Linked DNA regions of Caenorhabditis elegans. The protein of the gene in region 3 purifies or fractionates together with the protein of the main gene of each other region. This does not show direct contact. Each region holds a gene or a part of one and is shown on either strand. Other genes may lie near its edges. The genes, in order: byn-1, riok-2 and tag-151.

The links.
Region 1: the proteins of tag-151 (region 3) and byn-1 fractionate together in Caenorhabditis elegans (co-fractionation; one large-scale study listed by BioGRID). This does not show direct contact.
Region 2: the proteins of tag-151 (region 3) and riok-2 fractionate together in Caenorhabditis elegans (co-fractionation; one large-scale study listed by BioGRID). This does not show direct contact.

The regions. Positions count from the first base shown.
Region 1 is NC_003281.10:6,925,983-6,936,362, reverse strand, and holds byn-1 (Cell adhesion protein byn-1), read right to left. Parts: upstream 4,363-10,380; 5' UTR 4,359-4,362; coding exon 4,209-4,358; intron 4,140-4,208; coding exon 4,027-4,139; intron 3,980-4,026; coding exon 3,874-3,979; intron 3,822-3,873; coding exon 3,666-3,821; intron 3,620-3,665; coding exon 3,486-3,619; intron 3,438-3,485; coding exon 3,348-3,437; intron 3,297-3,347; coding exon 3,152-3,296; intron 3,106-3,151; coding exon 3,010-3,105; intron 2,962-3,009; coding exon 2,728-2,961; intron 2,703-2,727; exon of another isoform or gene 2,653-2,702; coding exon of another isoform or gene 2,356-2,652; intron 2,306-2,355; coding exon of another isoform or gene 2,021-2,305; intron 1,977-2,020; coding exon of another isoform or gene 1,665-1,976; intron 1,618-1,664; coding exon of another isoform or gene 1,453-1,617; intron 1,408-1,452; coding exon of another isoform or gene 1,189-1,407; intron 1,142-1,188; coding exon of another isoform or gene 1,085-1,141; exon of another isoform or gene 1,044-1,084; intron 836-1,043; coding exon 710-835; 3' UTR 501-709; downstream 1-500. Other genes in the region: coq-2 (4-hydroxybenzoate polyprenyltransferase, mitochondrial), read right to left, coding at 113-219, 263-381; F57B9.8 (Tyrosine-protein kinase), read left to right, coding at 1,085-1,141, 1,189-1,407, 1,453-1,617, 1,665-1,976, 2,021-2,305, 2,356-2,652; inf-1 (Eukaryotic initiation factor 4A), read right to left, coding at 4,778-4,978, 5,034-5,285, 5,338-5,757, 5,842-6,114, 6,164-6,226; flap-1 (Leucine-rich repeat flightless-interacting protein 2), read left to right, coding at 7,553-7,639, 7,687-7,803, 8,538-8,597, 8,647-8,736, 8,780-8,953, 9,128-9,204.
Region 2 is NC_003279.8:14,650,262-14,661,885, reverse strand, and holds riok-2 (Serine/threonine-protein kinase RIO2), read right to left. Parts: upstream 9,771-11,624; coding exon 9,563-9,770; intron 8,761-9,562; coding exon 7,472-8,760; intron 4,909-7,471; coding exon 4,816-4,908; 3' UTR 4,687-4,815; downstream 1-4,686. Other genes in the region: hprt-1 (Hypoxanthine phosphoribosyltransferase), read right to left, coding at 638-1,137, 2,882-2,987, 4,452-4,490; bath-40 (BTB and MATH domain-containing protein 40), read right to left, coding at 10,865-11,011, 11,426-11,624. UniProt on the Caenorhabditis elegans protein: Required for larval development.
Region 3 is NC_003280.10:4,708,725-4,718,376, reverse strand, and holds tag-151 (Pre-rRNA-processing protein TSR1 homolog), read right to left. Parts: upstream 8,101-9,652; 5' UTR 8,084-8,100; coding exon 7,978-8,083; intron 7,890-7,977; coding exon 7,735-7,889; intron 7,687-7,734; coding exon 5,995-7,686; intron 5,679-5,994; coding exon 5,546-5,678; intron 5,494-5,545; coding exon 5,309-5,493; intron 4,951-5,308; coding exon 4,864-4,950; 3' UTR 4,687-4,863; downstream 1-4,686. Other genes in the region: F41C3.8 (MARVEL domain-containing protein), read right to left, coding at 56-174, 492-776, 831-1,123, 1,179-1,262, 1,561-1,673, 2,271-2,330; F10G7.10 (E3 ubiquitin-protein ligase), read left to right, coding at 3,707-3,826, 3,873-3,995, 4,283-4,579; tsn-1 (Staphylococcal nuclease domain-containing protein 1), read right to left, coding at 8,603-8,797, 8,850-9,652. UniProt on the Caenorhabditis elegans protein: Required during maturation of the 40S ribosomal subunit in the nucleolus.

The DNA.
Region 1 (10,380 bases), on a different chromosome or scaffold from region 3:
TCTTAAAGGCGCACATTTGTTTGTATTTTACAAAATTAATCGCGTCGAGACTAGGTATCGTATTTTCGGCGCAAAACTCCCAAAACTTCGCGTCTGTGTAATAATAAATTACCGATAGGCTTGTCGACTCTCATCAGTTGAAGATATGGCTTCAAATTTGGCGGAGAAGAAGCAACAAGGCTACTTGCAGTTGGTATCAGTGACATTGGTTGTTTTGTACTAAAATTATAACAATTAAAATTAAAATTTTCGAATTCTGAACCTAGTGGAAATCCATCTTTTTGTTGATTCATCTAAACTATATGAAGTGCTTGTATTTGATCCAACAATGCAATTAATCGAATTGGATCTTCTAGCGATACCTATTGACCTGGTTATCATTTTTTTTTGACGAATCTGAAAACTTTCTCTCGTCAAAGACATGATAACATGAATTTGAAAAAACAAGCATTAAGTTAGGGACGAAAACCTTTGCTCTTTGAAACTAATACTTTGTATTTAGAAAATCAACAACAATTTCATTTGAATGAGGAAGAGAGTAACATAACCAACAATGATGAATAAAAAACAAAGAAATGAACAATTTTTGGGGAGGGGCGCGGGGAAACGAACAATAATGGAAATAGAAGAAAAGAGCAAAGCCTACGTGCAGAATAGAGTGAAAGCGGGAAATATTTCTCTTCTGCGTCTCTTTCTGTTTGTGTGTGATTTAGAATTCCATACTATCCGTCTTTCGGCCTTCGACCACAACTGAAGTGATAACATGTCCGTCTTCGGTTTCCTTGGATTCGAGCTCACGGCGAATTTCAGGCGAGATGAGATAGTGTCCATGGAACTATAAATTGAAATTGGTTAAAAACAATGGAAACATTGAACTCATGGGACCATAAAACTTCGGAAATTACCTGACTTAAACTTTATAATTATGAAAAAAAAATTTACGTGACCAATGATGTGAACCCATACGCCAGGAAAAAAATTAAAAAAAAGAAGAAAACACGCATAAGATCGATCAGAAGTGAAATTTTAATCATTTCGATAATCGTAGAAATTAATTCTACACTCTTTTCACATAATTGGCGCAATGGAGATCAATGAGCAACCATTCTTTCACGGACTTCTTCCACGAGAAGAAGTAAAGGTAATTTGAGAGTAATATTTATTTAAAAGGAGCACCGACTTTTTCAGCTTTTACTTCAAAAAAATGGCGATTATCTGATGAGAACGTCAGAGCCTCAAGGACAAGCACGTCATTTGATCATTTCGGTGATGCAGAACGAGACAAGTCAAGAAGTTGCTCATTATGTGATTCGTACAAGCGACGGAGCATATTCAATCACTGATAAAATTAAATTTGGAACATTGACTGAGTTAGTAAATCATCACAAACAGGCTAAAATTAGTGAGGTACGAGCGATTCATGCACATTATAGACTAATTATTGTTGTTCAGGAAGTTGCAAGCAGTGTTCTAGTGAATCCTATCGGTAGACAATCATGGGAACTGAATCACGCCGATATTACAATGACAAAAGTTCTTGGTGAAGGTGCTTTCGGAGAAGTAAAGCTTGGGACGCTGAAAATGGGATCGACTACAGTAGATGTCGCTATAAAAGTTGTGAGTTGGACTAGACTTTTATATAAAAAGTAATGACGAAACTTCAGGCAAAACTTGAAAAAGTGACTAAAGAACAAATCAAGGAGATCATCACAGAAGCACGTCTGATGCGCGGATTCGATCACAAGAACGTTGTAAAATGTTACGGCGTGGCTGCAATCGATGAACCATTGCTAGTAGTCATGGAGTTAGTTCCTGGTGGTGCTCTGGATAAATATCTTCAGAAGAATTCATCGGTACAATGGCCTGAGAAACTGGATATAATCGCACAAGTGGCAGCTGGTCTGGCATACATTCACAGCAAAAACATTATACACAGGGACATTGCGGCCAGAAACATACTCTATGGAAAAGGCGTTGTATGTTATAAATAATTTAAAAGTTAATAACTAATAACGTTCAGGCTAAAGTCTCTGACTTCGGTTTATCTCGAGTTGGAACGGAGTATCAGATGGATCCGAGCAAAAGAGTTCCAATCAGATGGCTCTCACCAGAAACGATCGTTTCCTTCCTTTATACTCCACAAACTGATGTGTTTGCTTTCTCGATTCTCTGCTGGGAGGTGATCGAGAATGGAGCTCAGCCGTATCCGGAGATGTTGGTGGTGCAGGTACATCAGAAGGTTGGACGCGATGATTACCGTATGCCGATTAGTCAAAAGGCTCCAGCTATGCTTGCCGATGTTATTGTAAGTTCTATTTCATTCCACTATTTTCATAGCAATGTGGAATTTTCCAGAAAAAGTGCTGGATTCGCGATCCTCAACAGCGCCCCACTATGAGCCAAGTTGTCCAGATGATGTACGAAATCACAGGAAAGAAAGATAAAACCTCGGTCAACAAGTCGACAGGACAGCTCCGTGCAAAAATGATGTCTACTGGACCAATGTCAGATCCGATGAGAGATAAAACTGCTAAAAAGACTGGAAGACGTAACAAGAAGAAACCGTCAAGCGCATCGAACGGTCCAGGTGGCAACTCTGGGCCTAGTTCGGGTCCATTGTCTGGTAAGGATTCGAGACTGAAGAAGCCATGAAAATAACTCTCCTAACTAGATGTTCTCGTGATAATAAAACTCGAAGTTTTAATAGTTTTTAAAAATTAAACTTACTCTGATCAGCTCATAAATAGCTGCCTTCTGCTCGGCATTCAAATCGTTCTTGTATCGCTGGCACAGTGCCAAAAGACACTGATGCCACAAAACTGGCATATCTCGTTCATCGGTTTTCAGACGAATGAAGTGATTAACGACTCCGTCGACTGCACGATACGGTAAAGCATACTTCTTATCAATGAGAGCTCGAAGAAACACGGAATTAGCTCCAGTGTATTCCATTTCGGCAATCTGAAATATCAACAGGTTTTTGATGAGATATTTTAAAACAAAAGTTACCCTAAGCATAGCAGCAGCGGAATGAAAAATTGGAATCGGGACTTTGGTGAGGACAGAGCTGAAGATAACAGCTTCACGAAGTGTACATGTTCCAGACTGAGAAAAAAAGAATATACATGAAAAATATTTAAGTTAAACTCACTTCTAATAATGGAAGAATCAATCCTTTGAAGAAAGCGGCAGGCTTGTAGATAGCTTTGCAGAGGGCTTGATACAGATGATAGTTAAGTTTCTTGAATTCATCAATGTCGTCACGAAGACGTGGGAGAAGAACAAGAGTGTAGAATCTGAATCAAACGGTTTTAGAGCTGATATATCTAAAATCGGCATTTAAATACCTCTGACACATTTTTGGGTTCATGTTCGACGCAAACAATCTTGTGGCTTGATACATAGCAGCAGCCGTCCAAGTTTCAGGCTTTGTGAGGCTGAATATGTTTTATTTTATTCAAATCCGATACTAACAGACAACTAACAAAAGAATTTGCTCCCAGTTAATCATTTTTGGAATGATTTTGAATGCTTTTGGGACTTTTCCACTGCGATATTTTGACATATACTGTCCAATCTGCTCATACATCTCAACTACTTCTGGGTCCATGTCACGCATCTGTAAACATTTTGTTATGCTTCAAGGCTCGATGCTTAAAAATTACATTAAACTCATTCGGATCAACTTGGCTGAGTGCAAGCTCTGCATCATTCTGTTTAGCTTCAATTTTGGCTTGAATAATATCGTAGAGTGTGGACATTTGGATAGCATCTTTTTTGAGGAATCTAGCCAAATCAGCTTCATCTCGAGGATCGAGTTCCTATAAATGGAGTTTAACATTATTATCACGAAGCTAAATAGATTTTACTTACAACAACTTGATCTTCAAATCCATTGTCGTCTTCTTCTTCATTATCATCATCATCATCGTCCGATTTGTCGCCGGATGCATCAGCTCCAAGCCAAGCTCCGCGTTGTCTGTAACAGAAATACTTGCATTGAATTATGATAAATTGTTTATTTACCTTTTTGGAACACTAGATGTGGCTGATTCGGTTTCTTGTCTTTCCAGTGCCTCTTCGAGAAGCTGCTTACGAGCTTCATTCAAGATTTTTGATGAGAGCGAATCAGGAACGAACTGAAACTAATTTTATGAACTCTCTGGTCAATGAAAATAATATTTAATTTTCCCTGAATATTTACTGACCTCGTCTGTCTGCGAGTCTTCCCTTTTTCTCTTCTGCTTTTCGCGAAGCTCATCTCGTTGCTTTGCAACTTTACCAGCTTCCAACTGGTTATCCAGTGGAGCATTGGCTGATAATTTGTCACCCCTTCCTTTCAAATTCCTTTTCACCATGTTACTGGAAATTCATAATTAAAAATTAGCAGAATTACGGTGTTCAATATATTCTGAAAGGATCAGAAGCCTGTTCATAAGATTTAAAATGAATGTAACATACGCAATTTCATTATTTTCCAGAAAAAGAGAACGCCAGACAAAAACATTTTGTCAAACAAAACCAAGGTGGCTCTATAACTTTTAGGGGGCAATACTAAACTCTAAATTGAAAGAGAATTAGAATGTTTGAACCAAGTTGGATGGGATAGGGCCAGTACTAAAAAGGGGTGATTAAAAAGATGAAATCACGCATAAAATAAAAATGTGGGACGGTGGGGGTGGAGGAGAAAACAGATAACATGGATAAATATGAGGAAACAAGAGGAAGGGAAAAGCGTGTGGAACAATCGTGGAGGGGATCGGAATTGGATTAAAATTTAGATGAGGTCAGCGATTGATTCTGGCATCTCTTCGATTTGAGTGGTGTAGTAGCTTTCAATTTCCTTGAGCTGACGAGCATCGTTCTCGGTGACGAAGTTGATGGCAACTCCCTTACGACCGAAACGTCCAGAACGTCCGATACGATGGATGTAGTTCTCACGATTGGATGGGAGATCATAGTTGATAACAAGTGAGACCTAAAATATATACATTCCATAGTATTGAATTATAAACACAAATATTTATACTTACCTGTTGTACGTCAATACCACGAGCCAAGATGTCTGTGGTGATGAGAACACGGGAAGATCCTGAACGGAACTCTCGCATAATTGTATCACGCTCAGCTTGATCCATGTCTCCGTGGAGGCAAGAGACTGTGAACTGATTTTCAGTCATTTTCTCGGTGAGTGTGTCGACCTTCCTGCGAGTGTTACAGAAGATGACGGCTTGAGTAACATTGACAACGTTGTAGAGATCACAGAGGCAGTCAAACTTCCACTCCTGAAAAAATGGTTCATGAAAACAATTTCTTAGACTGGGCGAGTAAACTTACATCCTTTTGAACGTTGATGTAGAACTGTCTGATACCTTCAAGGGTGAGCTCGTCCTTCTTGACAAGAATGCGGATTGGATTGCGCATGAAACGATTAGTGACATCAAGAACTTCAGATGGCATAGTAGCCGAAAGAAGGACTACTTGAACGTCTTGTGGCATGGAACGGAAAACCTCGTAGATCTGATCCTTGAAACCTCTAGAAAGCATTTCGTCGGCCTCGTCGAGAACGAACATCTTAATTCTGGATGTGTCAAGAGCATTTCTATTGATCATGTCTCCAACACGTCCTGGAGTTCCGACAACGACGTGAATTCCGGCTTCGAGTTTTCGTTGATCGTCGCGAACACTGGTTCCACCGATACATGGAAGAATGTTAACGTTGAGGTACTCTCCGAGGGCGCTCATGACCTTTTGGATCTACAAAGAAAGATTTTGAAAAGTTTTCTTTAAAAGTATCTGCTAATAATCTATAACTAAAATACACTGAGTGAGAAAGTTTACCTGTTGAGCCAATTCTCTGGTTGGGGCCATAACGAGAGCTTGCACGTGTGGATCCTCGTGGTCGATTCTCTGAAGAATAGAGACCGAGAAAGTTGCAGTCTTTCCAGTTCCAGATTGGGCTTGAGCGATGACGTCCTTTCCAGTGGTGCATGGAACAATTGCGCGCTTTTGAATAGCAGATGGCTTTTCGAAACCGAATCCGTAGATTCCGCGAAGAAGCTCCTCCTTGAGCTCCATGTCGTCGAAAGATTCGACGACTTGATCATAGTTTCCCTAAAATTGAATGTATTCAAATTATAATAAATTATGTACATTAACTAACCTCGATCAAGCCGTCGGCATCGACCACCGAAGATACGTTCACATCATTTTTAACATCGGTCATGACAGGTGGGTTGAAAAGTTAAAAATTAACTTTTGGAAGTGCGATTGAGTTTCTGAAATTGAAGTAAAATGAAATTTCGAAAGTATTTCAGCATTAAATACAAAGATAAGGGTGTTGAAATAGTTCTTCAATAATAATAATTGCGAAATACAGTATCTCAATCCTAAAATTTTCGAATAAACCCATCCAAAAGAAATGAAAGAAAAGTTTCGACCTAAAAACCTTTGTTTTTTTGAGAAAAAGCATTTGAAATAAATATATTCTTAACACGAAAAGCATAAAAAACGTTTAAAAAAGCTTTAAAATCTAAAAAGAGGCTAAGAAACCGCCCCAAAACCGGGCCAAATCATTCGAACAAGAGTGACGGGTCTCGAAGCGAAGAGAGTGTTCATTAGAGCGCACATTCATACCATCAATTTTTTTTGAAGAAAAATGGCTCTTTTTTATTTGACCAATTCAATTCTTTATAATTTTTATGTACATTTGGTTATACACATTTTTGAATTCATTTTTAAAATAATTTTAATGATATAGATTCAAAATCTATACTTTTTCCGTTTTTTGAATGCAACCTGCGTAAAAAAAAGACGAGTAATCACTAACACTGACGACAGTGACATGCACTTAAAAGTGGTTCGAAATTTAAAAAATTAATTTGGATTTTTGAAGCCAAAGTAAATAATAAGGAAAGTTAGAAGGCTGAGTGTGTATGAGGTCCTCATAAAGAAAGTGAGAAATGTTGGTTGAACGATGAGAGAGCACAGCGAGCAGACTGGTCAATTTAGGCAAATGAGCGCGACGAATGAGAGTAAGAGCCGTAGAGAGCACAGCGTGCGGTGTTCCAGACGCGATGAATAAGAGAGAAACGAGAAGAACACCATCTGCTCTTCAAAAACACCTGTTGACACCGAATTAGGGGCTTGGTTAAATGCCAAAAACTGCATTGTTCGTGGATTAGGAAGAAATTGACCTATGTAGACTGTTTTGTATTGTGAACAAGAATAAATATTAAATACAGAGAAGAAAAGGTATCTGAAATCAAATAAAAAAAAGAGATCAAATTCATTGTCATGTTCACAGGCCATAAAAATCCTGAATTTTGCGGAAGGCTGTTCTCCCTCATTTCCCTCCTCCTCACTCAACCCTCACACATATTGACATAAATCTCGAAAGACGGAATCCGCGCGGACACAACGCGCGTTGGAAACATTACACTCATTTTCACTGCTGCTTCCTCTCTGTTCGTTATTGATTTTTCGCCATTTAAAATATTCAAATTCTCCTTTCTTGTGCACACACCATAAACACATACAATTTTCAGAAATCATGAGCTCATACCCATCCAGTGGTCGCCGGCGACCTATCACCCGATCAGAAGCCGAAGAAAGAGCATTAGACAAAATTTCCAGAGAGGTATCTTAACAATTTGAAAAATTCGAATTAAAAACTAAAAGTTTTAGGCGGAAGCTCGAATGAAATTGAAACGAGAAACACGAGAACAAGCCCGACAAGGAAGATATCAGTTGTTAGAAAAAAAAGTTGAAGAAGATGCGGAAGCTTATCGTCATGATACTGCTGTAAGTCGATTATTAACGAGAATGCACGTTTGACGTTGAAGTTTTACTCTCGAAACTACGTTTTTCATTTTCAGTAACCCTTCGTTTTTAATATTAATAAATTTTCGTTGAAAAAGTTCAAAAAGTATCCTGATTTCCATAAATTATTCTTGATTTCTTTTAAAGAAAAACTACATGTTCGTTATTGATTTTTCACGCAAAATTAAGATGCCCTAAAATAAAGTTTCTTAAATGTTTTTATAATCAAAAAATCTTGCGAAATTAATTATCCTAGAAAATCAAAAATAAATTTCGCTATTTTTCGTCCAAAATACGGTACTCTTTCTCGACACGACAAATTAGTGTTAAATAAAAAAAAGGACCGCTCCTTTAAAGAGTACTGTAATTTCATATTCGAAAAAACAAGGAAAAAAAATCGTTGAAAATACCATAGTAACGAAAGTTTCATATTACAGTACTTTTAAAAGGTGCATACCTTTTTTATTTAACAAAGCATTGTCGTGTCAGGACCTAGTACCGTATTATTTGCGCAAACTTTCGCGACTGGGTAATATAAACACCGAAATTCCTGGAGATCCAAAAAATGTTAGTTCGTAGAGTTCGAGTTCACTACTGCCGTATTAAAAAAAATCTAAGTTTTTAAATTAATGTCTAACTATTCTCGTGTTACTTTATATTTTAACCCCAATTAACATAAATTTTCCTTTTGAGAAACTGTTTGTTGTTAATTGCAGTCAACATCTAACACGAATGGAGTGTCATCCCAATCTAATCAGACACAGGAACAGTTGCATGTGAGTGATCTAAATTGTTTTTAACAATATATAAATTCATAATTCACAGGATAAAGTGATCGAGCTCCAAGATCGTGTTCAACAAGTCATGTTTCTATATTCTCAACTGGATAATGAGAAATCAACGTTACTTTATGAGGTGTTTTATTCGAAAGTATTTATGAAAAAATCTTAATTTCCAGGTTGATCTTCTGAAAGATGAACTTGAAGAGAAGGATGCATCCTTGAATTTATCATCTCGAGAATGTCGTGATCTTACGAGTGAAGTTAAAGCTTTAAAACGGACCATCGACGCGTTACACGCTTCTCAACAGCAGCTGAAACAAGAAATTTCACAGCGAGATCAGCTTATACAGGTGGGCGTATAATTGTTAAAACCAGCAAAAGATAAAATCGATTTTAAAAAAACCTGAGAAGCTAGGAAAGTCCTTTGTTCTGATTTCAAGAGACTCTTTAAAATATACTTAATATTGCAAAGCAAAATTTAAATTGGGGTTTTACTCGTATTGCTCTGTAAGTAATTATTTCAGGAAAATGGTCTATGTCTTGTCGAAGAAGATCCGGATGATGAAGGATCCGAATCAACGAATAACGCTTCTGGAGAAATGTAAGTTTTTTTTTTGCATGAAACTGGTTTTAGTAATTTCTGAAACTAAAATAAAAATTTCGGGCCAAAAAATTAAATTTATAAAAAACCAAAAAAAAAAGACCAAACCGATTAGAAACCATTAAAAACCACATTTTTCTAAAAAAATTTTTTTTGCAATATATGAAAATTTTTCGTCAAAAAAGCATTCAAAAAAAGTCTAGAACTGATTGAAAAAGATAGAGTCACTTTTCCAAATATATTTAGAATACTCTGTAAATTTTCTTTCAAGTTTTCGAGAAAAAAATTGAATGCGTATATTGAAACTGACTGTAAATGCTAACAGTTTCTTTAATATATATGATGTTAGGTTTTTAGTATTATAGAAGTCACTTTGAACAATTTCCCCACTAAAAACCGTTATTTCGCCTTTAAATAATACCTTGTTAGAAGGAAAAAGCCAAATTCTAAAATATGAACAATTTTTCGTAACTGTGATGTGCCACGCGTTGACTTCATGTTTGACTTTTTCAAATATCTTAGTGATTGGTGATATTATAACTAAGAGTATTCCGATGGTCCCTTGGACTTTCAAAACTTTTCAACATTTTTTCTTCTAAATTCGTCATCATTGCATTGTTTGATTAGGAAGGAGACGGCCATGAAAAAGGGAAAAATGCGATGAAGTTGTTGTCCGTATGTCTTTTTCGTTCATTAAGCTTAATCAAATGTCTTCATCCTCTTCTTTTTTTCCCCTATCATCATCATTGCCGCCTTCTTCTGAAAATGTTGATGTCTCGAAAATCTTGGAGAATAAAATAAAATTATTCCAAAGAATGCGCGATGTGCAGCAAAAAAGTCATCGTTGAGAAGAACAAACACTAGAAACATTGAACCATTGAAATATTGATGAATCACGCGGCGCGGGAGGCTTCTAAATATAGATACGGCTTTCTTCAAAAATGAGAAGATGCAAAGAGGTCAACATTTTGTTTGACGTGAGAAGTTTTGATCTTAGTTCTTTCGGGATTTAATTGATCTCAGAAAATTAGTTTGAAACGGAAATAAAATCACCGAAATTAAAAAACCTTAAAGTTTGGTTTAAAACTAATCTCTGCTGTAGTAAATATTTTTTTTATGAAGACACAACGCTTTTCTTCCAATTCATGTTTTTCATTCTTGAAATTGGAATTTTTT
Region 2 (11,624 bases), on a different chromosome or scaffold from region 3:
TTCGTTTAAAAAAATTAATTTCAAGCTATATTTTTATTTTCCTCGAAATTTTTTTTCTAAATTCTAATTTCTCGTGGATTTTGAATTTTTTCGATTAAAAAACTGAAAAAAAATTAAAATTATCAGAATGTGTAAAAAAATTTTTTAAAGCTATACTGGCAAAACGCGGTATTTTGAAAAAAGATTTTTTAAAAAAATTTCAAAAAAAAAAAAAAGCAAATGAAATTTCTCGACCATCGATTTTTTTTAATCGGAAAAATTTTGATTTTTCCCAAAAAAAATTAATTAAAAGCAATTTTTCTTGCAATTTTTCTCTCTATGGAATTTTAAAAAATCTACGGTTTCTCGTGGTTTTTGCATTTTTTTTTCGATTAAAAAATTGTGAAAAAATTTGGTCATTTCAAATATTTTGTAGGACAAAACCTTGACGGTCATAATACACCGAAAATTAGAAAAAAAAACTACAATTTTGAAGCAATACATGTATATTTTTAAAATAATGTATATTTGTTTTAAAAAAATTAATAACGAATTTAAAGCAGATCACAGTGTAATTAGGAATAGCAGAGCAAAAAAAAAACAATTAGACATTCAAAAATTTCAATTTTTTTTTTCAAAAAAATTGTAAAAATCCAAATTATTCCGATTTATATTTCTCAATTCCAGCAGGGCTCATGACACAAATATGTCCGAGATCTCGGAATTTCTGATTATAATCCAATCCGTAGCCAACAATAAATTTGTCAGGAATCTCAAAAGCCACGAAATCCTCTGGAACATCCACGACACGTTTGACACGTTTCGACAGGAGAAGGGCGGTCCAGGTCTTCTCAACGCCCGTCTCATGTAAAGTTGAGAGAAGTTTTGCAAGAGTTCTTCCGGTATCCGAAATATCATCCACAACGAGCACACTTTTCCCCTTGAGCTCATCCAAATTCGATAGTCCCATTATTTGAATTTGTCCAGTACTCATTTGATCCTCGTAACTCTTTACTCGAATAAAATCGACAGTCATTGGTTCAGGACACGATGAGCGAGCATTTGTGAGCTCTTCGACGAGGGCAGTGAAGAATTTATAGGATCCTTTGAGTACGCAGAGCAGCGCGATTGGTTTGTTTCCGATTTCAGCGTGGATGTCTGAGAAAATTATATGATTTCTGATTTTTTACTAAATCACTGCAACTTTTTCCTCACGAGGGACGAGGAAAAGTGGTTTCTAGGCCATGGCCGAGGGGCCGACAAGTTTCAGCGGCCATTTATCTTGCTTTGTTTTCCGCCTGTTTTCTTTTGTTTTTCACAGCTTTTTCCCGTTTTTTCTTATTAAAACTGATAAATAAATATTTTTTGCAGATGCTAAAACAATTTCCAAGTAAAAAAAATCATGTATTCAGTGGGCAAGCAGCGGTGAAAGTGGGCATTGTAATATGATGGATTACGGGAATACAAAACCTAAACTTTTCCCCAAACATGATACATATGCTGCTTAAATGCTGAGACTACCTGATTTCCATAATGAGACGTCTGAAAAAGTATTGAGATTTTCAAAATTCAACTTTTTGTGCGAAAATCTCGACCTTTTCACCAAAAAAGTTGAATTTTGGAAACCTCAAAACTTTTTCAGCGGTCTCGTTATGAAAATCAGGTAGTCTCAGCATTTAAGCATCATATGTATCATGTTTCAGAAAAAGTTTAGGTTTTGTATTTCCGTAATCCATCATTTTACATTGACCACTTTCACCGCTGCTTGCCCACTGAATACATAATTTTTTTACTTGGAATTTGTTTTAGCATCTGCAAAAAGTATTTATTTATCAGTTTTAATAAGAAAAAACGAAAAAAATCGATGAAAAACGAAAGAAAACAGGCGGAAAACAAAGCAAGATAAATGGCCGCTGAAACTTATCGGCCCCTCGGCCATGGCCTAGAAACCACTTTTCCTCGTCCCTCGTGAGGAAAAAGTTACAGTGTAAATCGAAAAACGAAAATTTTCCGGTATTTCTAATTTTTTCAGATTTTTCTAAAATTAGCTTAAAAGTTTGATGACTAGGTTTTTTTTCTTCAATATAAACAAAATTAGAAAAAAAAAAAATAGAATTTTCTGATCAATTTTCCAGCAAATATAAAAATCGAAAATTTTTAGAAGTTTTTTCAAAAAAAAAAAAAAAATTTTGGCAGTTTTTAGAAGAAAAATTTTTAAAGAAATTAAAGAAATAATATTGAAGCAGAAAGTCTTGTTTCTGAAAATAATTGTTTTTATTCGAAACTTTTCCGTCATCGCATTTCTTCAATTTCTTCAAAAAAAAATGTATCAACGAAAAATTGTCCATTTTCGGATTTTCCGTAAAAAAAACTTCTAAAATAGGAAAATTTTTTTAGTTTCCGAAAAATCTGAACAAAAATCGAAAAATCGAAAAAAAAAATTAATCATAAAATTCGATTTTCTAATCTAATTTTGTTTATATTGTTAAAAAACATGAGAAAAATTAAAAATGTCTTCTAAAAAGAACAATTAGAACACAAAATTTCAAGGTAATTTTAGAAAAATCGAAAAATAATTCGAAATTTCGGAAAATCGAAAAAATTCCGTTGACACTTTTTTAGAGGAAAATTTGAAATTTTTCTGTATTTTTTGAAATCCTTCAATCCAAGCTCCCTTATACTTGAAAATGGAAGAGCTGGAATCCTCTTCCACGGCCCTGTGTGTCGATTTACGCAGCCCTCGTGTACTCTTCGAGGAGGAGAAGACGATTTTACAATTGTCACGTAAATCGACACATGGCCGTGGAAGAGGTTTCCATCTCTTCCATTTTCAAATTTGAGGGAGCTAGAAGTCCGTTGTAGGGCTATTAGAGAGAAATTTTTAAATTTTAACTGTTTTTACCTTTAGCCAGACGACGAACACGATCTCTAACAAGACCTTCCGGAATCACGACACCGGATAAATCACCGTCATAGCAGATTGGAATGTCGAATGCGTCGACTGGGAGCTGCAAAAATTAAATATTAATTTAAAATTTTACAATTTCGCCATAATTTTGCAAGAAACGACGTTTAAAAATAAATGAAATTGCACATTTTTAGCCCAAAAATCAATTAGACTACAAACTACAAATCTTTCTAGCCTCAACCATGTTGAAAATGTTCGAAATTTCACAAAATACTTGAAAAAGTTGAAAATTTTTGACTGAAGATTGCAGATTTTAACTATTTTAGAACAAAAATATGGATAATATTGTTCTTTTTAATTGTTGAAAACTAGTTTTTCTGGGCAAAATTTTGGAAAAAAAAACGTAATTTTTAATGAATTTCTGCTGATATGAGGAGAAACGGTTGCAAAATTGTGAGTTTTTAGCTGAAATGGATAGAAATCGAGAATTTTTTGTTAAAAAAAATGTCAAAAATTAACTGAAAATCACGTTTTCGGTCAATTTTTGGTTCACACTACAAACTACAACTTTTTCTAGCCTCAACTAACTTTGATGAAGCTGAAAACTCTTGTAGTTTGTAGCCTGAGAGCCTCACCAAAAAAACTTAAATTAGCGAAAATTCAAAATTTATGGATATTTAAGCATTTTTCTTGAATTTTTTTTTTGTCTCCAGCTGCTAAATTATAAACTTCCTGCAGTTTTTTTATTTCAGTTAAAATTCAAAAATCTGAATCAAAAAATTGCTGGAAAAGTGAAAAGTTGGTTGAGGCGTCAGATCACAAACTACAATGTTTCCCAGCCTCAACCAACTTTGGTGAGGCTGAACATCATTGTAGTTTGTAGTCTGAGAACCTCACAAAAAACTAAAAAACTGTTTAAATTCAAATTTTATAGAATTTTAAGCCTGTTTCTTGGATTTTTTTTCGTTTCCAGCTGCTAAATGTGAAAATTGCTCTCGAAATCGTGGCAATTTTCATTCGAAATTCAAAAATCTGAATCACAAAAATTGATGGAACCACCGTTTGTTGCGGTGTCACACTACAAACTACAATGTTTCCTAGCCTCAACCAACTTTGGTGAGGCTAAAACTCGTCGTAGTTTGTAGCCTAGGAGCCTCACCAAAAACTAAAAAAAAACCTGTTTAAATTAAAATTTTTTGATTTTTTTTTTGTTTTCAGCTACTAAAGCTTGGAAATTTCATGCACATTTGGCAATTTTCATTCGAAATTTTTTAAAAATCCTGAATCAAAATTGTTTGAAAAAATTTCTGGAAAAGTTGGTTGAGGCGTCAGACCACAAACTACAATGTTTCCTAGCCTCAACCAACTTTGGCGAGGCTAAAACATCGTTGTAGTTTGTAGCCTAGGAGCCTCACCAAAAACTAAAAAAACTGTTTAAATTCAAATTTAATGAAAATTTAAGCACTTTTCTTGAATTTTTTTGTTTCTAGCTGCTAAATGTGGATATTTTTCTCGAAATCGTGAAAATTTTAATTCAAAATTCAAAAATCTGAATCACACAAACCTCAAAATCATCAGGAATGACAGCACGAGTTGGAGCCATTTTCGAAAATGAAGAACTATTTTTCTGAAAAAAAGAAAAGTGTGTGAATGGTTATTTAAAAGAGACAATATTATCTTATCAATCAAAAAAAAAAAGAAGATTGATCAGATTATCTTATCAGTTGAAATAGACGGCGCGACGATGAAAGTTACGAACGTGTCAACGATAAATGTTGCATTTTAATCGAAAAAAAACGCATCATTTCGTTTATATTGAAGGGGAGAAGTTAACAGAACAAAAAACATATAACAATGGTAATAATAACAGGTGAAAAAGAATAGAAAAAACGAATTTTCCGGGAAAAACGAGAACAATTATTAAATCATCAAATCCATCCAGCGTACTCGGCAATCACATCTTTATTGTCTTTTCGGTTACGGCCCACTGCGCTTTGCTTTCCTTTGACCTTCAGTCGAATCTGGAATTTTTGGATAAATTTTAGAAATTTTTGTGGTATATTGATTTATACTGAAGGTTGGAAGGATTTCAGAATTTTTTTAAAAGAGTTTTACGAGTTTGGAAGGAAAATATTAATAAATTACAGTAAAGTAGAAATTAAATACTTTTTTATTAATTTTTGAGATTTTTGTGAATTTTTTTTTTTGTAAAAAAACGTATTTTCCAAAAAATTTAAGGATTTCACAGTAAAAAAAACTAATTTTTAATGTAATGATCAGTCGAAAATTTCAAGAAATTCCAAAAAAAAAAGATAATTGAAAATTTTTGCAAAGTTTCACACAGAAAATTTTAAAAAAACGAATTTCAGACAAAAACTGGCCACGCCCACAAAATGGACGATACCGAAAGAATTCCTATATAATTTTTTGCAATGTTTCAGATACAGAAATTTCGAGAAAAAATATTGTCAGACAAAAACTGACTCCGCCCATAAAATTGTCGGTTTTCTAAAAATTTGAAATTAAATATATGATGACTTATTCCAAATTTTAAGTACGTTTCTATGAACAATATTTCAAAATCAGCAAACTAAATTCTTTTTAAAGCAACATTTTTTTAGAATGACAATGAAACACAAAATTCAAAAAAAAAAGCGAATTTAGGACAAAACCTAGCCATGCCCACCACAAAATGGATGCTCAAACGTGCAATTTTCAAAAAAATATAAAATAATTACTATGATGCCGCGTAAGTGATTATTTTTCAGAATTTTTTCAGAATTCGCTTTAAAAAAAAAGGAATTTTAGACGAAAACTGGCTCCGCCCACAAAATGGTCGGTTTTCTAAAAATTTTAAATTAAATTTTTTTCTATGAACAATATTTCAAAATCAGCAAAACTAAATTTTTTTTAAAGCAACATTTTTTTAGAATGACAATGAAACACAAAATTCAAAAAAAAAAGTGAATTTCGGACAAAAACTGGCCACGTCCACAAAATGGATGCTCAAATGTGCAAAAATTCAAAATTGCACATTTGAGCAAAAGTTTGAACAACTCCGCCCATTCTGAAATTTCGAAAAAAATTTTCACAACAAAAACAGTCTTCGCTTATAAAATGGCACTTTTGGTACAAAAATGACCAGATTTATACCGTTTATACCGTTTATTATTTTTTGAGTTTTTTTGAGAAAAAAAGTTTTTTGTTTTTTTTTAAAGTTTTTAATGAAATTTTTAATCGAAATTTTCAAAAAATTCAAAAAAAATTTGATAATTGAAAATTTTTGCAAAGTTTAACACAAAAAATAAAAATATATATTTTCAGACAAAAACAGGCTCCGCCCATAAAATGGATAAAATTTCCACGATTCTACGTGGCTGAACATTTTTTTGTTGCAATGTTTCAGGTACAAAAATTTCGAGAAAAAAAATTTGAGGCCCCACGAAAAGGGGATCTGCGAAAAGGGGAGCTGGCACTGTGCCAAACGCACAAAACGCTTTTTTATTCTCATTCAACGCACGACTTTTTTTTGTATTTTACGCTAAACAACGCGCGCGATGCGTAATAACGGAGTGTGGTTATAACAAAGTCGTGCGTTGAATGAGAATAAAAAAAGCGTTTTGTGCGTTTGGCACAGTCACTGCAACTTTTTCCTCACGAGGGACGAGGAAAAGTGGTTTCTAGGCCATGGCCGAGGGGCCGACAAGTTTCAGCGGCCATTTATCTTGCTTTGTTTTCCGCCTGTTTTCTTTTGTTTTTCAAAGCTTTTTCCCGTTTTTTCTTATTTAAGCTGATAAATAAATACTTTTTGCAGATGTTAAAACAATTTCCAAGTAAAAAAATTATGTATTCAGTGGGCAAGCAGCGGTGAAAGTGGGCATTGTAATATGATGGATTACGGGAATACAAAACCTAAACTTTTTCTGAAAAATGATACATATGATGCTTAGATGCTGAAATTACCTGACTTTCATAACGAGACCGCTAAAAAAGTTTTGAGGTTTTCAAAATTCAACTTTTTGTGCGAAAATCTCGACTTTTTCACCAAAAAAGTTGAATTTTGAAAACCTCAAAACTTTTTCAGCGGTCTCGTTATGAAAATCAGGTAGTCTCAGCATTTAAGCAGCATATGTATCATGTTTCAGAAAAAGTTTAGGTTTTGTATTCCCGTAATCCATCATATTGCATTGCCCACTTTCACCGCTGCTTGCCCACTGAATACATAATTTTTTTACTTGGAAATTGTTTTAGCATCTGCAAAAAGTATTTATTCATCAGTTTTAATAAGAAAAAACGGGAAAAAGCTTTGAAAAACAAAAGAAAACAGGCGAAAAACAAAGCAAGATAGAAGGCCGCTGAAACTTGTCGGCCCCTCGGCCATGGCCTAGAAACCACTTTTCCTCGTCCCTCGTGAGGAAAAAGTTGCAGTGACAGTGCCAGCTCCCCTTTTCGTATCTCCCCTTTTCACAGATCCCCTTTTTGCAGATCCCTTTTTTGGTCTGCTCCCCTTTTCGTGGGGCCTCAAAAATTTCAGACAAAAACTGGTGCCATTTTTTTTCTCGATTTTCGGTACAAAAATGAGACCTTTTCCTTATTCCTCTTTCTATCCAAAGCCAGTCGCCTCTTAACATCTTCAGCCGTAAACGTGGCAGCACTACTGGCAACACTTCTGGCTCCACTTGGCACTCTCTTCTTTTTCACAACTTTTGCCACCTGCTCCTCAACTGCCACGTGGCCATCCGCGTCCTCTTCCTCCCCCTCCTCCTCATCTTCATCATTTTCATCGTCATTTTCAGAATCGGCTGGACGCTTAAAATCCTCCGGCGGCAACTCAATATCCTTATAACCTTCCTCCGATTTCAGAGCATCAAGATCCACGGCTTCCAGTTGATTTGTGGCGTCTGAGAGCCAATCTGTGAAGCGTGTCGTCTGGGAGAGCACGATTTTCTGCTGTTTGACGGTGTTCTCCTGAGCCTGGAGCTCTTCGTGGTCTTTTTCGAGATCCTCAGGCTCTTCCTGAATGTCTTCCATAGATTTAGAGTCATCGGAATCATCTTCATCTTCCCCCAAATCCTCCTCCTGCCGATTCCTCAATTCCTGCTCACAATGTGCCAAAAAATCGCCTTCATCGTACGCTTTATTCAAATCCAACGCCATTTTCTTGGTGAATCCCGACGCTTCGAGCAGTACATCCATATTCCCTTTCCGTTCAACTTCATCAAATTTCGGCCAATCCTCGCTTTCATAGTCGAATTTTCGTTTAAAAAACGTCCGAACACATGTGACATCTCGATCGAAATAATATTCCGCATTCGGATGATCAATTGATACCATTTGTGGAAAATCAATCATCACAATTCGCTCGTCTTCCAGCATAATTAGGTTGAATTCATTGAAATCTCCATGAATAACTCCGTGCCGAGCCATTTTCACGATAAGAGCCATAAGTCTGTCGTAGAGGGCGCCAGCGTCTTCCACGTGGGTCACATTGCAGAGAGTTTGACCAACAACTAACTGCATAACGACTAAATGTCGACATACATCCACAGCTTTTGGTACAGGAAATCCCCGCTCTTGAAGAGCTTTCAAAAAAGCAAATTCCTTCGCAGCGGCCAGACGACTCAAATAAAGCCACGAGGCGCTCTTTCTCTTCTTGTGATAATCACGTTTCTCTTTGATTTTCCTGAACGACGTGCGACCCAATCTATGGAATTTCAGACAAAGATCGTTGAGCTCCGGGTCACCACCGACGTACACATCCGACTCTTTTCCGATTCCGATTTGATTTCCGACACTTCCGACGACTTCACGGGAGCACAGGGCTCGAAGGGCGAGGTAGTCGTAGCCACGGATTGTGAGACGGTAGCCATCAACTGAAAATATTATTTATTTTGATGGAAATAAATGGAAATTGTTAAAATCCAGCTGATTTCGCGTTGGTTGAGGCTAAAAAAACTCAAAATTGTAGTTTGTAGTCTCTGCGCCTCAACCAAAAGCTTTGTAATCTAAACTTTAAATTGAGATAATGCCTACATTAGTTGGAAAACGCACAAGAATTACTGGAAATTTATCAAAATCCAGCTGATTTCGCATTGAGAGAGGCTCATGGACTACAAACTACAACTCAAATTTCAAATTTTAGCCTCACCAGTGTGTGGTTGAGGCCAGAAAACTTGTAGTTTGTAGTCTCTGAGCCTCAACCAAACACCTATTCTTCTAAAAAAAAAGCAATTCTTGAAGTTTCAACAGGATTTTTCGCTTTTGTAAAACTAAATACCACGATTTTCACGGAAAACCAACAGAAAACATGTTCTAAAACTATAAACTACATTTTTCAGCCTCAACCACGAGTTTTAGTTATGGTTGAGGCTAGAAAATGTGTAGTTTGTAGTCTCTGAGCCTCAACCAAACGCCTATTCTTTAAAAATGCAATTTTTGAAGTTTTATCTGGATTTTCGCTTTTTTTTTAAACTAAATACCACGATTTTCTCGAAAAACCATCAGAAAACATGTTCTAAAACTATAAATTTAATACATTTTTCCGTCTCAACCACGAGTTTTCGGTATGGTTGAGGCTCAAAAGGTTGTAGTTTGTAGTCTCTGAGCCTCAACCAAAACTTTTTATCACTCAAAACTGGAATTTTCAGCCGTTTTTTGCAGGAATTTCCTCCTTACATTTCTTGCTTCTCTCAAAAGCGACCAACGAGTGCTTGCACAAGTCATTAAGCGTCCTGGCGACACCTCCTCTATGAATTCCAGCAATTGCTGACACAAGAGCCAACGGAACGACCTCGTGATTCTTCATGCCCATCTCGACGGCGATCAGTACCCGGAAGTGATCACCTTCCAGGTATCGCATCATCGAAACGTTCATTCGACCCATCTGGAATATAGATTTTGAAAACTTGAATTAAAATTTACAAATTAGGAAAAAATAAAGCGGAAAAACAATTTTTATCGATAATATTGTGTTAATAAATCAATTTAAATTAGGAGTCCACTGGAAAACCACTTAAAAATTGCGAAATTCACGAAAAATCCATGTTTAGCCTAAATTTTCCAGTTTTCCGATTTTTCAGACCGAATTTAACATTAAAATTGTTAATTTTTACTGAAATTCAATTAATTAACCATAAAAAATGATGAAAAACTTCGAAAAATGAGCTGAAAACATGAAAAATCCTCGAAAGAAAAAGGAAAAACAGAATTGGCTAAGCCCCGCCCACAAAAGTGTGCCAGGCTTGCAACGGATTTTTGGTGAACGCTGAAATTTTTGCATTTTCGGCGAATTTTCAGCGAATTTTTGGATTTTTTCTACAAATAGGAGTTGTTAATTATATTTGAATATTTTTCAACAAAATAAGTCACAAAAAATAAAGGAAATTGCACTTTTCCAACGAAAATCTAGTTTGACGCCCCGCCCACAAAACCGTGCCAGGCTTGCGAATTCATCGTAGACTCTCTCAATTCTTTTCTATTTTTTTCATGTAGAAATTCCTGAATTTAACCATCCAAATTCGTTCGAAAAAACCCAAAAAAAAACCAAATCGAAGAGCTTCATATACACAAAAATCGATGGCATACGATAGGAAATAAATGAACGCGCGCTGGTGGTGAACGGAAAAAAGGTACAGAGGAGAAGCCGGTGAAAAAGGGTGAATCTGTGGTGAGGGCGGTTGAAATAATGGAAAACATATCACCGGGGGGGGGGGGGATTTGTGAGGGGGAACTGTCGCCGATGAAGCGGTATATGCAAAAAAGGCGAAACACACACACAAATTGTTGAGGCGGTTGCAAAATTGAAAAAATGGTTTAAGAGGTGGATAAAACGAATGAGAGACGACGACGGAGAATGAGAGTGAGAAAATCACAGCGAATTTTTCGAGAAAGAGTTCAGAATTGGGGGATTTAGAGGAGAGAGAAGTATGACTAGAAAGTATCTATGAAAAAGAGCGGATTTTGAAAAAGAATTAGCTGCTAAACACGAGGTTTCTTGACCGGCGGTGACGAGTTATCGTTCGATTTCACCATCTTTTCCAGCAAGTTGCTCGCCAAAACCGGCTCATCGCTGATGAAGTTGCGCCATGACGTCAGAGCCATTACATGTTGACGATTGTGGATTGCCTGGAAATATTTTAATTATTAAATGGAACAAAATCGTTGTAGTTAGTAGTTTGAGCCTATTTTTCTGTCAAAATGTCAATTTTTCTCCATTTTCAGCTGGAAAATCAGATCAGAAAAAAAGCATTTCACAATAATGGTTGAGGCTAGAATAGACTGTAGTTTGTAGTGTAAGCCTCTACCAACTGTGTTTTATAAGCATTTGGGTGAGGCTGAGAGACTACAAACTACAATTCGATTAGCCTCAACCATGGAATTTCGAAGTATTGTTAGGCTAAAACATTGTAGTTTGTAGTCTAAGCCTCAACCAACATTGCGAATTACAAGTTTGGTGAGGCTGAAAAAAGGTAGTTTGTAGTGTAAGCCTCAACCAACAAGAAATAAGCAAATTTTGGGAGTTTTCCGTTTAAAACTTACAAAATCAACGCAAGCATCATACAAAACATCAGTATTATATCGTTCCGCATGTGTAATACACTCGAGCACATTATTCACATTGAGCCGGTCCAACAAATGCTGCTCACAGGTCATTTTCAGCGCCAAAATCTGATATTTTTCGGCGATTTGCATCACATCGACCGCCTGATAAACGTCGATATCCGATTTGATGACTCCA
Region 3 (9,652 bases):
CTGTAATAAGACATATTTTGAATTTATTTTAAAATAAAAAGTGAGATGAGTTTACCAAAAATGCGGTGCAAGCAAAAAAGGCAGACCAGTAGATTGTTGGATCGCAGTAATGACGTTCGAACATTCCCTCGTTGAAGTGAACGAATGCTTTCGAGCCATACACCCAAACGCAGCCTGTAATATTATTTTTCTGAATTTCAGAAATACCACAAAAAAACTAAAGAATTCGAGCAACATTATTAACCTAAAAAATCGCAATTTTGCTCCAAAATTAGATCTTCAAACCGACCAATCAGCGATTAGCTTCGCCCACTTTTCCACCAATTAGAAGGAGAGGGCAGAGTTGGAAGAAGCTGATTTGTTTAAAAATGAGTGTAGCTTCTCGTTTTGGAGGTAATTCATTCAAACTGATCGAAAATTCGCGTTTTCAAACAGATGGATTATCTCCCAAGTTTTGGAGCAAAATTTCTGGAGCATTGTCGGTAACTCACCCAAAATCAGCCAAACAATATTGGCAAGTGCGAAGAGAATTTCCAACCCTTTGCACAATAAGCTTGCTCCGAGCTGTCTCTGTTGTCTGCGATAGGCTGTTCTCCTAGGCGTTGGAATCAGGAAATATATACGAAATGTCGCAGAAATTATAAAGAGCACTCCTTCGACTATCAACCATATTGGGATCATTGGTTGAATTGCACAGAATGGAGCGTTTAGAAGACCAAATATAATTAGTAGAAATGCGAGAAGACTGAAACAGCTCAGAACCGCTATACTGATTTCTGAAATTTTTTGGATTAGAATTCCAAAGTCAAAAGTAGAGAAAAAAAACTTACGATACGGAATTTTCTCATTGATATAATCACTCAAATTCTTTGCAAACTCTACAGTATCCCCAGACTGCGAATAGACATCTGAAAGCTTATCGTGTTTCCGTCGTGATTCACTCGAATCTGCTTGAGAATGTGTCGTTGGCATATAGACTGATGGTTGTAGATGCCCATTCGTCTGAAATCGCACGGGACGGTCTTGAGGCGGGAGAAGGGGTCTTTGAGAATTTGCGGAACTTCGGTTTGATGTGTTAACACGGAGGGGTGTGGAGCCGGATGAGTTGTAGCTTTGAGAGCCCCTGGAATTTATGTTTTGGAGGGTTTTCTCTACATATTTTGAAAATTGAAACTAACCTAGGAAAAGGATTATTCGGTGGATGTTGTGACATTGAGCTTGACGGTAAAATTGGTGTTTCTACTTTTGATACTGGAGTTGATCTGGAAAATGTATATTATTTGCAAATTTTTGAGCATTTTTTATCGGGAAAAATTCTATAAAGATAATTTTGCTCGAAAATCTACGGACTAATTATGGAATTGCTCACAAAATTTAGACAAGTAATTTAAAGATTTTTTCCAAATTGAAATTGGTTTCGTAGGTTTAACATATTTTTGGCATCCATCAGATATCTTCCAAAAACTGAGAAAACATTACATTTCAGTTTTTGCTTGAAATTTTTAAAAGTTTTTCTTATAAGTAAACATTTCTTGTACGTCCCTGAAACCCGTGACTCACCCTGAACTGCTCATATCAACTCGAAGCTTCTGCGTTCCTGGAGACGGAGTGTGTCGCATTTCGCCGAATGCTCCCATCCTTTCGGATGTTGCCATAGAATTTCGTTGGGAATACTGAAAAGTTTCGGTTATATGACATTCGAATTTGTTTATTTTGAGAGTGTCACTGGAAAAATTTGATTTGAAAATTTTCAGTGCATGTTTTTTTTTAATTCTTCAGAGGCTCGATTGCTCAAAAATTGTTTTTGCATAGTTTTGAAAATGGTTTCAAAGATGATAATAGTAAGGGTAGGGAAAGTTTCTTGGAACGTTGAAGAATTTTTTTAATTTGTTGAAAAAAAAAAAAACAAAACACTTCCAAAAGATCAACTGAAAAACATTTTTTAAACACTCCAAAAGAACATATTTTGGGCAATTATTTATACCACTAAACTAGAAAAAAAGCACTGAAAAATGATTCAGATCGAACATTTTGGGGTTGAAGCTTTCAAGATAATACTACTTGCTTAAAAATCAATACACGCTATAATAATTATTATTCTACCGCAAAACAAAATGAGCGGTGAAGGAGAGAGGGTGAGGAGATAGGAAACTGTGTAGTTATATGGTTTGATGGGTTTCCTTCTTCTTCTACTCGTTTCGCACCAAAAAGTCAGTCGACCATGTTGTTTGTGTATGTGCAAACAAATACCGTCAAACGAATATGCTTACCCCTGCGGGAAACGATGTTTCATTCTGTGAGATTAGAGATCCGAAGGACGTCGTTGTCATTCTGGAAATGTTTGGAATTACAACACAGACACAAAGAATGAGAAAAGTTTCAAAACGAAGTGACGGAAATTATTTCTAGCTTCGATGTGTAACTGTGTATGCCAAGAGCAAATAATGTTGTCTCGTTGTGTCTGCAGCACACACTATCTCTAATTTCAATTGTCACACGCTCATACGTGTGGCGAAATAGAAATAGACCAGTGAAATTGAAATAGAGGTGAAGGTGACAAAAATAATCAGGAAAAACGTTTTTCTCCCGAAAAAATTAAACTTGAGGACCGTCCGACCTTTTCAGCTAGCAGCGAAAAGCCACCATAAAGAAAAGAAAATAAACAAAAACTGTGAAATCGATTCAGTCGTGGAATAAATAAACAACACAATGATTCACAGGCGGCATCAGAAACGGAAGAAATGGAGGAGGGTGGTCTGGAAAAGCGGGGGGAGTCTCGGGTGGCAAAGTGCGGTAGAATAGATAGGAAAGGTTATGTAAACGTATACCTAAAATATAGCTGCTTGGTGGTGGTGGACTACTTGAAAGCTATGAAGAATGGGAATTTGTAAGGGAATATGTCGTGCAAAAAAAATAAAGAGAAGCCCAGATTTGGGCGGGGCTTGCTCGGAAATGTTTACTATTACATGCTAACTGATACGATTGTTTGATAATTTTTCCAAATCGAAAAATAAAATTTGAATAATTTGTTGAGCTATCACACTTTTAATTATCTTTTAAATAATTATTACCCGTTCGCCAGAAAGTCCGATTTTCACCCCAAATCACTGCCTCGGGTCCTGACACGAACGAAACTTCCCACATTTAAGGTACATCCTGGGTATGGTAGCTAAGACGTTTTCCTCGTGCCAAGACCCGCCGAGGTAGGGATTTTGAGTTTAAAAAATTGTATTTTTTTCACGAACAGTTATCTATGAGACAAAATTTTTTTAAAGAATTAAAAAATCCAGAACTAGAAAAAATATTTTTTGAATAAAAAATCAAAGCTCAGCTTGAAATAGGTGTACGCCTAAAGTCTTGAACCAAAGCCTAAACCTAATGCAAGACTTAAGGGGCCTAAGAGTGAAGGCACTAGTTTGAAGGCGTAAGCCTAAGCTTAAACCTGAGCCTAAGCCTATGCCTAACCCAAAGCCTAAGCCTGAGCCTAAGCCTATACCTATGCCTATGCCTACGCCTAGCTTCTGCTATTCAACAGAAAAGTCTCCCAACTCCTGTTTAGAGCACTTTGAGTGTTTGTTTGCATTTGAAAAACCATGTCGAACACTTTGACTTTTCAATGAACTTCCGAGTTCATTGAACACTATTTGTGGACTTTTTTTGTAGATTTCACTACACAATCTGTACTAAAATACAGTTTTTTCTTCAGTTCCAACCGTGCATCGTCGAACCATTGGCGTGGAAACCTCGGCGAATCCTCAAGCCACCAACCAATTTCGATGAGCTTTTTGGCCGATATTTCCATAGAGAATGCAACAAGTGCTCATCGGTATGAGATATCTGTCGAATTTTTTAAAAATTCCCAAATAATTCAGGTCCCATCTTACCCAGTCATGTGCCTTTTCTGTGGAGAAATTCTTTGCCTGAACGATTGTTGCCGAATGGCCCATCAAGAGTCGGGAAGTGATCGGGTGATCAGTATGTCGGAGATTGAGGCGGTAAGATTTGAATGGAAATGCGCTCTACGGTCAATTGAAAACGCTCCGCCTCCAAAGGTTGGGTCTCGTTAGGGTTGCAACGAAATTGCAACGTTTTCAATCATTTTCGTTTTTTTTTTCAAGTTATGTAAATTTCGACAATTTTTTTCGATTAAAAACATTGAAAACATTTGAATTTACGGTTTTCCCGCCAAATACCTAGCGAGACCCAACCCTTGGGGGCGGAGCGTTTTCACACAGATTTTTCTGCGTCCTTATATTTTTAAAACTGTTTTCCCTATTTCCAGCATGCCGAAGACTGTTCCTCATCGTCGGGTCTCTTCCTTTCCGTGACGTCATCAATGGTTGTAGTGTCACGTGGCAAACAGGCGGCCATATGGGGTACGATCTACCTGGATGCTCACAAGGAAGAGGATCGGAATCTGAAACGTGGAAAGCCGTTATTCCTGTGCGAATCGCGGCTCAAATGGCTCGAGTACGATTGGGCTGAGCAGGAATGGCAGCGGGTTCCACAATGGTTCAATATGACGAATTCACAAGCATTTACCAGTAATATTCGGGATTGTCACTTGTTTCAACGCTAGAGCTATAGAATTGTTGTGGAAAATTATTAGATGACAAAAAATTGTAAAAACTCAACTGGCTATTTAGATTCTCTAGCTGTACATGTTTTTGTTTTCTTTTCGATAAATAAACATTTTGAATTTTATGTCTCGAAACTTTAACAAAACAAGAACATGGGAGCACTGAAAAGAACGGGAAAAAGTTAACAAAAACAAGAAGAAGAAGCGATTGGAGCTGGGGAAAAAACAACAAGATAATATGAGTTAACAGAAAATTTGAAGAACACAACAAATAACATTGGAATCTATTCCTCCATAGCATCCTCATTGACAAGACTGATGCTTTCGACTCGAGAACGTTCAACGAAGCGAGATGGGTTCAGGGAGCGGTTCTGTAAAAGTTAAAAGATTACAAATAGGGTTTTTTAATTAGAAATATTCCAAATTTGCCCCTTGTTCCGAAATTTTTTTTAATTCATGCTGAATTCAGTTTTCGATTTTCAGAACTTTTTAGTTTTTGTTTAAATTCCGACAAAACTGAAGGAAACTCGTTGAAAAACTGAAATCAGAATAAAATAAAGATTTAAAAAATCTCGTAAATCAAAACTGCTGTGAAAATTCGGTGTTTGAAAAAACCTTGGACGACTTCAAGTTGAGATAAAAACTTTTGAAATTTTTAACATAGATGTTCGGAATCCAGGGCAAGTTTGGAGTAATTTTTTTTTTTTAATTTCCAGAATTTTTACGTACAAAAATAGAATAGTTCCAGACGGGGAAGACCCGTTTGTAGAGATTAAGCATCACAGAATCTTGGGCATTCAATTGCTGATCGAATCGGCATTTCATGTTTCCATGAGTTCCAACGGCTTCCTTAATATGACCACGACGTCCGGATGGTGTGTACAATTCGACTGGTTTGAACCATTCAATGTCTTCTGGAAAGTGGGAAAAATGAAATTTTGAAACTTTGAATTGAAATTGCCGAACCTCTATTAAAGAACATGTATCTGACAACAACGGCGCGTCGATTAATTTTGTATGGATGACCGGCGAGAACAGTTCTTTTGAGCACAATTCGGTCAGGATTGCTGTCGAGAATCGATCCAGTGGCAACAAGTTCCTGAAACGTTTTTCTTTTAATTTTTGATGTTGTTCCAACATTTTTCATTTATAATTAATGTCAAAGTATGGTAAATCACTAGATTTTTTAAGAAAATGTTCAAAAATGTCATGAAACTTGGCAAAGCCAAAGCTCGAAAATGCGAAAATCGGCAATTGACAACTTTTAGGCAATTTTCGAACATTTTCTCAAATTTTTTAGCTAAAATAAATGTTATTCTCAGAAAAAACAAGTGATTATCTATAATTTTAGGATAATTTTAGATGAGAACAACTTCGTGCAAATAATTTCATTTTGAACCGCATTCTATTCTTACCTGCCTTCCCTTATCGTCCTGTCTAAAGCACAGCACCGTTGCCGGATTGAAAGTGATCGGCGCGTAGACTGTCGCCACAAATGTCTTCTCAGTCGGCATAAATCGTTCCAACTTGAACTTATCGCCAGGTGTATTCGATGAGAAAACGGCGTTCGCCTCGAATTGCCGGAATCCAACATAGAAAATGAACTTTTGATTCTGATCCGAAGTGATTGGAATTGTGCAAGATGGATGTTTCTTCAAAACCATATTGAGAACAGACATTTTATGCTCGTGAGGCAGCAACTGGAAGAGCACCAAGTTTTTGGCGTCTTTGTAAGCTTCTAGGACGGCGACTGGAACATTCTCGATGAAAACACTTGCAAATGCTCCATTGAACTTCTTATCGGCTACTGAATCTGCATCTACATCATTTCCACCAATCTTTGACATCACATTCTTCTTGGTGTTTCTATAATTTGCAAATTGGAAAATTCTCGCATAATCCAGTGGAAGATTCTCTTTCGGGTCCCAGGTAGACGTTCGGAAACTTTTGAGTCCGCGGTATTTTTGGAAAGCAATTCGAGCTGGCATATCCATCGGTGTATCCACCTCATCTGGCCATTGAGCATTTTCACGCTCTTTTCGGTATTTTTCAACTTCTGCCATATTGATGTCTTCATCAATTCCATCATCAAACATCATTTCAGATGCAGTAGTTTCACCGGCTTCTGATTTCAAATCATCCATAGGCTCTTCTTCTTCAGAATCATCCTCTACTTCTTCATTATCACTATCATCCATATCCTCATCGGAATCTTCTTCGTCTTCGTCATCCTCGTCATCCAAAATCCATGCTGCTTGATAAGACGAAGTTCCTTTTGGCACACGACGGAGCTCCTTATCAGCTTCTTCAAGTTCTTCCCGAGTTGGCCATGTTTGTTCTCCGTCCATAGAATCTGGTGTGATCTCCGTTTCTGTGTTCTGGCGTTTATCATCAGATTTGGCAATTATCTGAGCTTCTGGCGTTTTGTTGTGTGCTTTTAATGGATGAGGATCGACTGTTGATTCGATTTTTGAGATTTGAAAATCACCGAATCCTGGAAGATGAACCAAATTGTTAGCATTCCATTCAGGACCTCTGAGATATCCCTGGGCGACGAGTGTGCAAGTTTCTCCAGTTTTGTCCGAGCATTCCAAGTTTTCAACAAGCATATAAGAATGTCTGGCTTGAAGAGTCAATGGCTTCTTTTTAGTTTCATTCAAGATTCGCAAAAGTTGAAGGTTATCTGTGACAGAATCAGCTGGCATAACTCCAGCATTACTCATACTCCATTTTGAAATGATAAATTCGATTCCTTTTCTAACATCTTCCTTCTTCTTGTGATTTGCAATACTCCCAAGTCCTGGAACAACACTAACAATTGTTGGAAGTCCATTTGCTTTGATAATCGTTAAAAGTTGCTCATCCCATTCGGAGAGCTCTGCAGACATTGGCCACAGAAAACAAAGCACATCAGATGCTCGAATCGCATCAAGAACACCATCAACATTATCCTTATCTGGAGTAAGGAATGATACACGAGATTTGAAGCGAGGAATCGCAAAGTCAATGGTGGATGGAGAAGTCGTTTGAATAATTGTTTCGTCACATGTTGCCAGCTTTTTGATGAACTCTGTTGGGCGAGCTCCAACTCCGAGAGAAACGACAGTCTGAAAATTGTCGTTTTAATACTAATTTCCAAGTTGAAAAAACCCTACCACTAGACACGGAGCATTTGATGTTCTGCGTCTCTCCATTGCATCCGCCATTTTTTGATCTCTCGCCATTTTGAGCTGATTACGTCGAGCATCTTTGGAGATGGTACGGTGGGTGGAATGAGCAGAACGCGTGAGCTGTTTGACACCTTCTCGTCCTGAAATTCGAAATAAATTTAAATAAGTGTTTAATAGGGAAAAAATCCCTGTGAAGCTATTTGAAGGACTTTTAAAATCGGTAATTACCTCGATTTTCAGATGTAATCTCTCCTTTCGTCCGTTTTCCTTTCCAAGACTTGTGGGGCTTTGAAGGTTTCTTGAACACTCCCGCACGATGGCCAGTTGTACTCATCTGGTAAATAATTGTTTCTTTATTTAAATTTCCTTTACTTTAGAATACTTAGATAAATCATAATTAAGTACCTGGAATAATAACCAACACCAACTGACAAAAAAACCTGAATACTTTGAAACTACAAGGCAATAAATTATTCATTCCATGCAGATTACAACAGTGAATTTTTTAAACCGGAAAACAATAAATTAGAGCAATAAATATATATAAATAAATACTCTTCAGAATATGTACTCGAAAAACCCAACAAAATTGTGGTGCAAAAAGGGAAAAGGGGGGGGGGGGGGGGAGAAGAAGTCGAACCCGGTGGAAAGTAGGAAAAACGAAAAGATACGTAATTGAACAAGAAACAAGAGAAACCACCACCGGGGGCGATCTCTGAATAACTAGAATCGGGTACAATACATCACAGTTACACTCATTAATAAAAAAGAATATGTGTTGTGAGGATAAAACTTTTCTGGTTGGGGGAGGGGCAGGGCAGGGTTCGAATTGAATAAAATACTGAGTAGACATTTAGATATCATTTCCGGTGAAATCTCCGTACTCCCAAATGTTCTTTCTCGACTTGCGAGCAACTTCTTCGGTAGTGTTGTAGTCATTGACAAGAGTCTGCAGGCGTGGCTCACGGCGGTGATCAGCAAGAGCGAGTCCCTCAGCAATAAGAGATTTACCGATGTCGACCTTCTTGTTTCCACTGTCGTAATAAACCTGAAACAATTTTTTGTAATATTTTGAACATTAAAAAGAAATTAAAACTTACAGTTACATATTCTGAAGTTCCGACCTTGTACTCACTGTTAATGAATACCGAAGAGTGACCAAACAAGTACTGGGCGAAAGCATCAGAAGTGAGTTGGACGTAATCCTCGTTTGGAAGCTTAGCAAGAGCAAGGTTATATTCTCTAACTCCAGCTGGGAAATTGGCAAATCCTGCTGGAATTTGAGCAAGCTTGACAGCCTCAATTGTCTCACGATTTCCGTAATCAATGTAAACAATCTCTGCTTGCCCAGCACGAACGCTCTCGACCTTGCAACGGTACCATTGTCCATCCTGAGAGAACTTGGCAACGCACAAATCTCCACGCTTGGTGGTATAAGATCCAGCGAGTGGTGGATGTTCGGCAAGAGCTTGTCTCATCTCGGTTGTCATCTTTTCAATTTTTGGCCCATCTTCAATGTTTTGAGCCGAGAAACGAAGAGCTCCTGGAGCAATATCAGTAACAGCGACTTGACGGAAGTTCTGCTTTCTCTCAGATGTATCTGCCTGTTGTACTTCAACTTCCTCTTGGTGTTGCTCTTCCGTGAAGTTGGCCCAAATGTTCTTCTTAGCTTTCTTAGCTTTGTTTTCGGCGGAAAGAAGAGCGTTGTAATGCCCACTTCGCTCAGCTGTGAAGTGAAGAGAAGCAAGTCCATTCTCTACAAGAGCTTCGCTTAGATTGATTGCTCGTGAAGTATTTCCATCTGGAGACACATACAAGTATCCAACAAAGTTTCCATTCTTATCGGTGCTCTCTACTTCTAGTTGAACCTCGTGTTGGAGGACAAGCTTTCGGGTGAATGCAG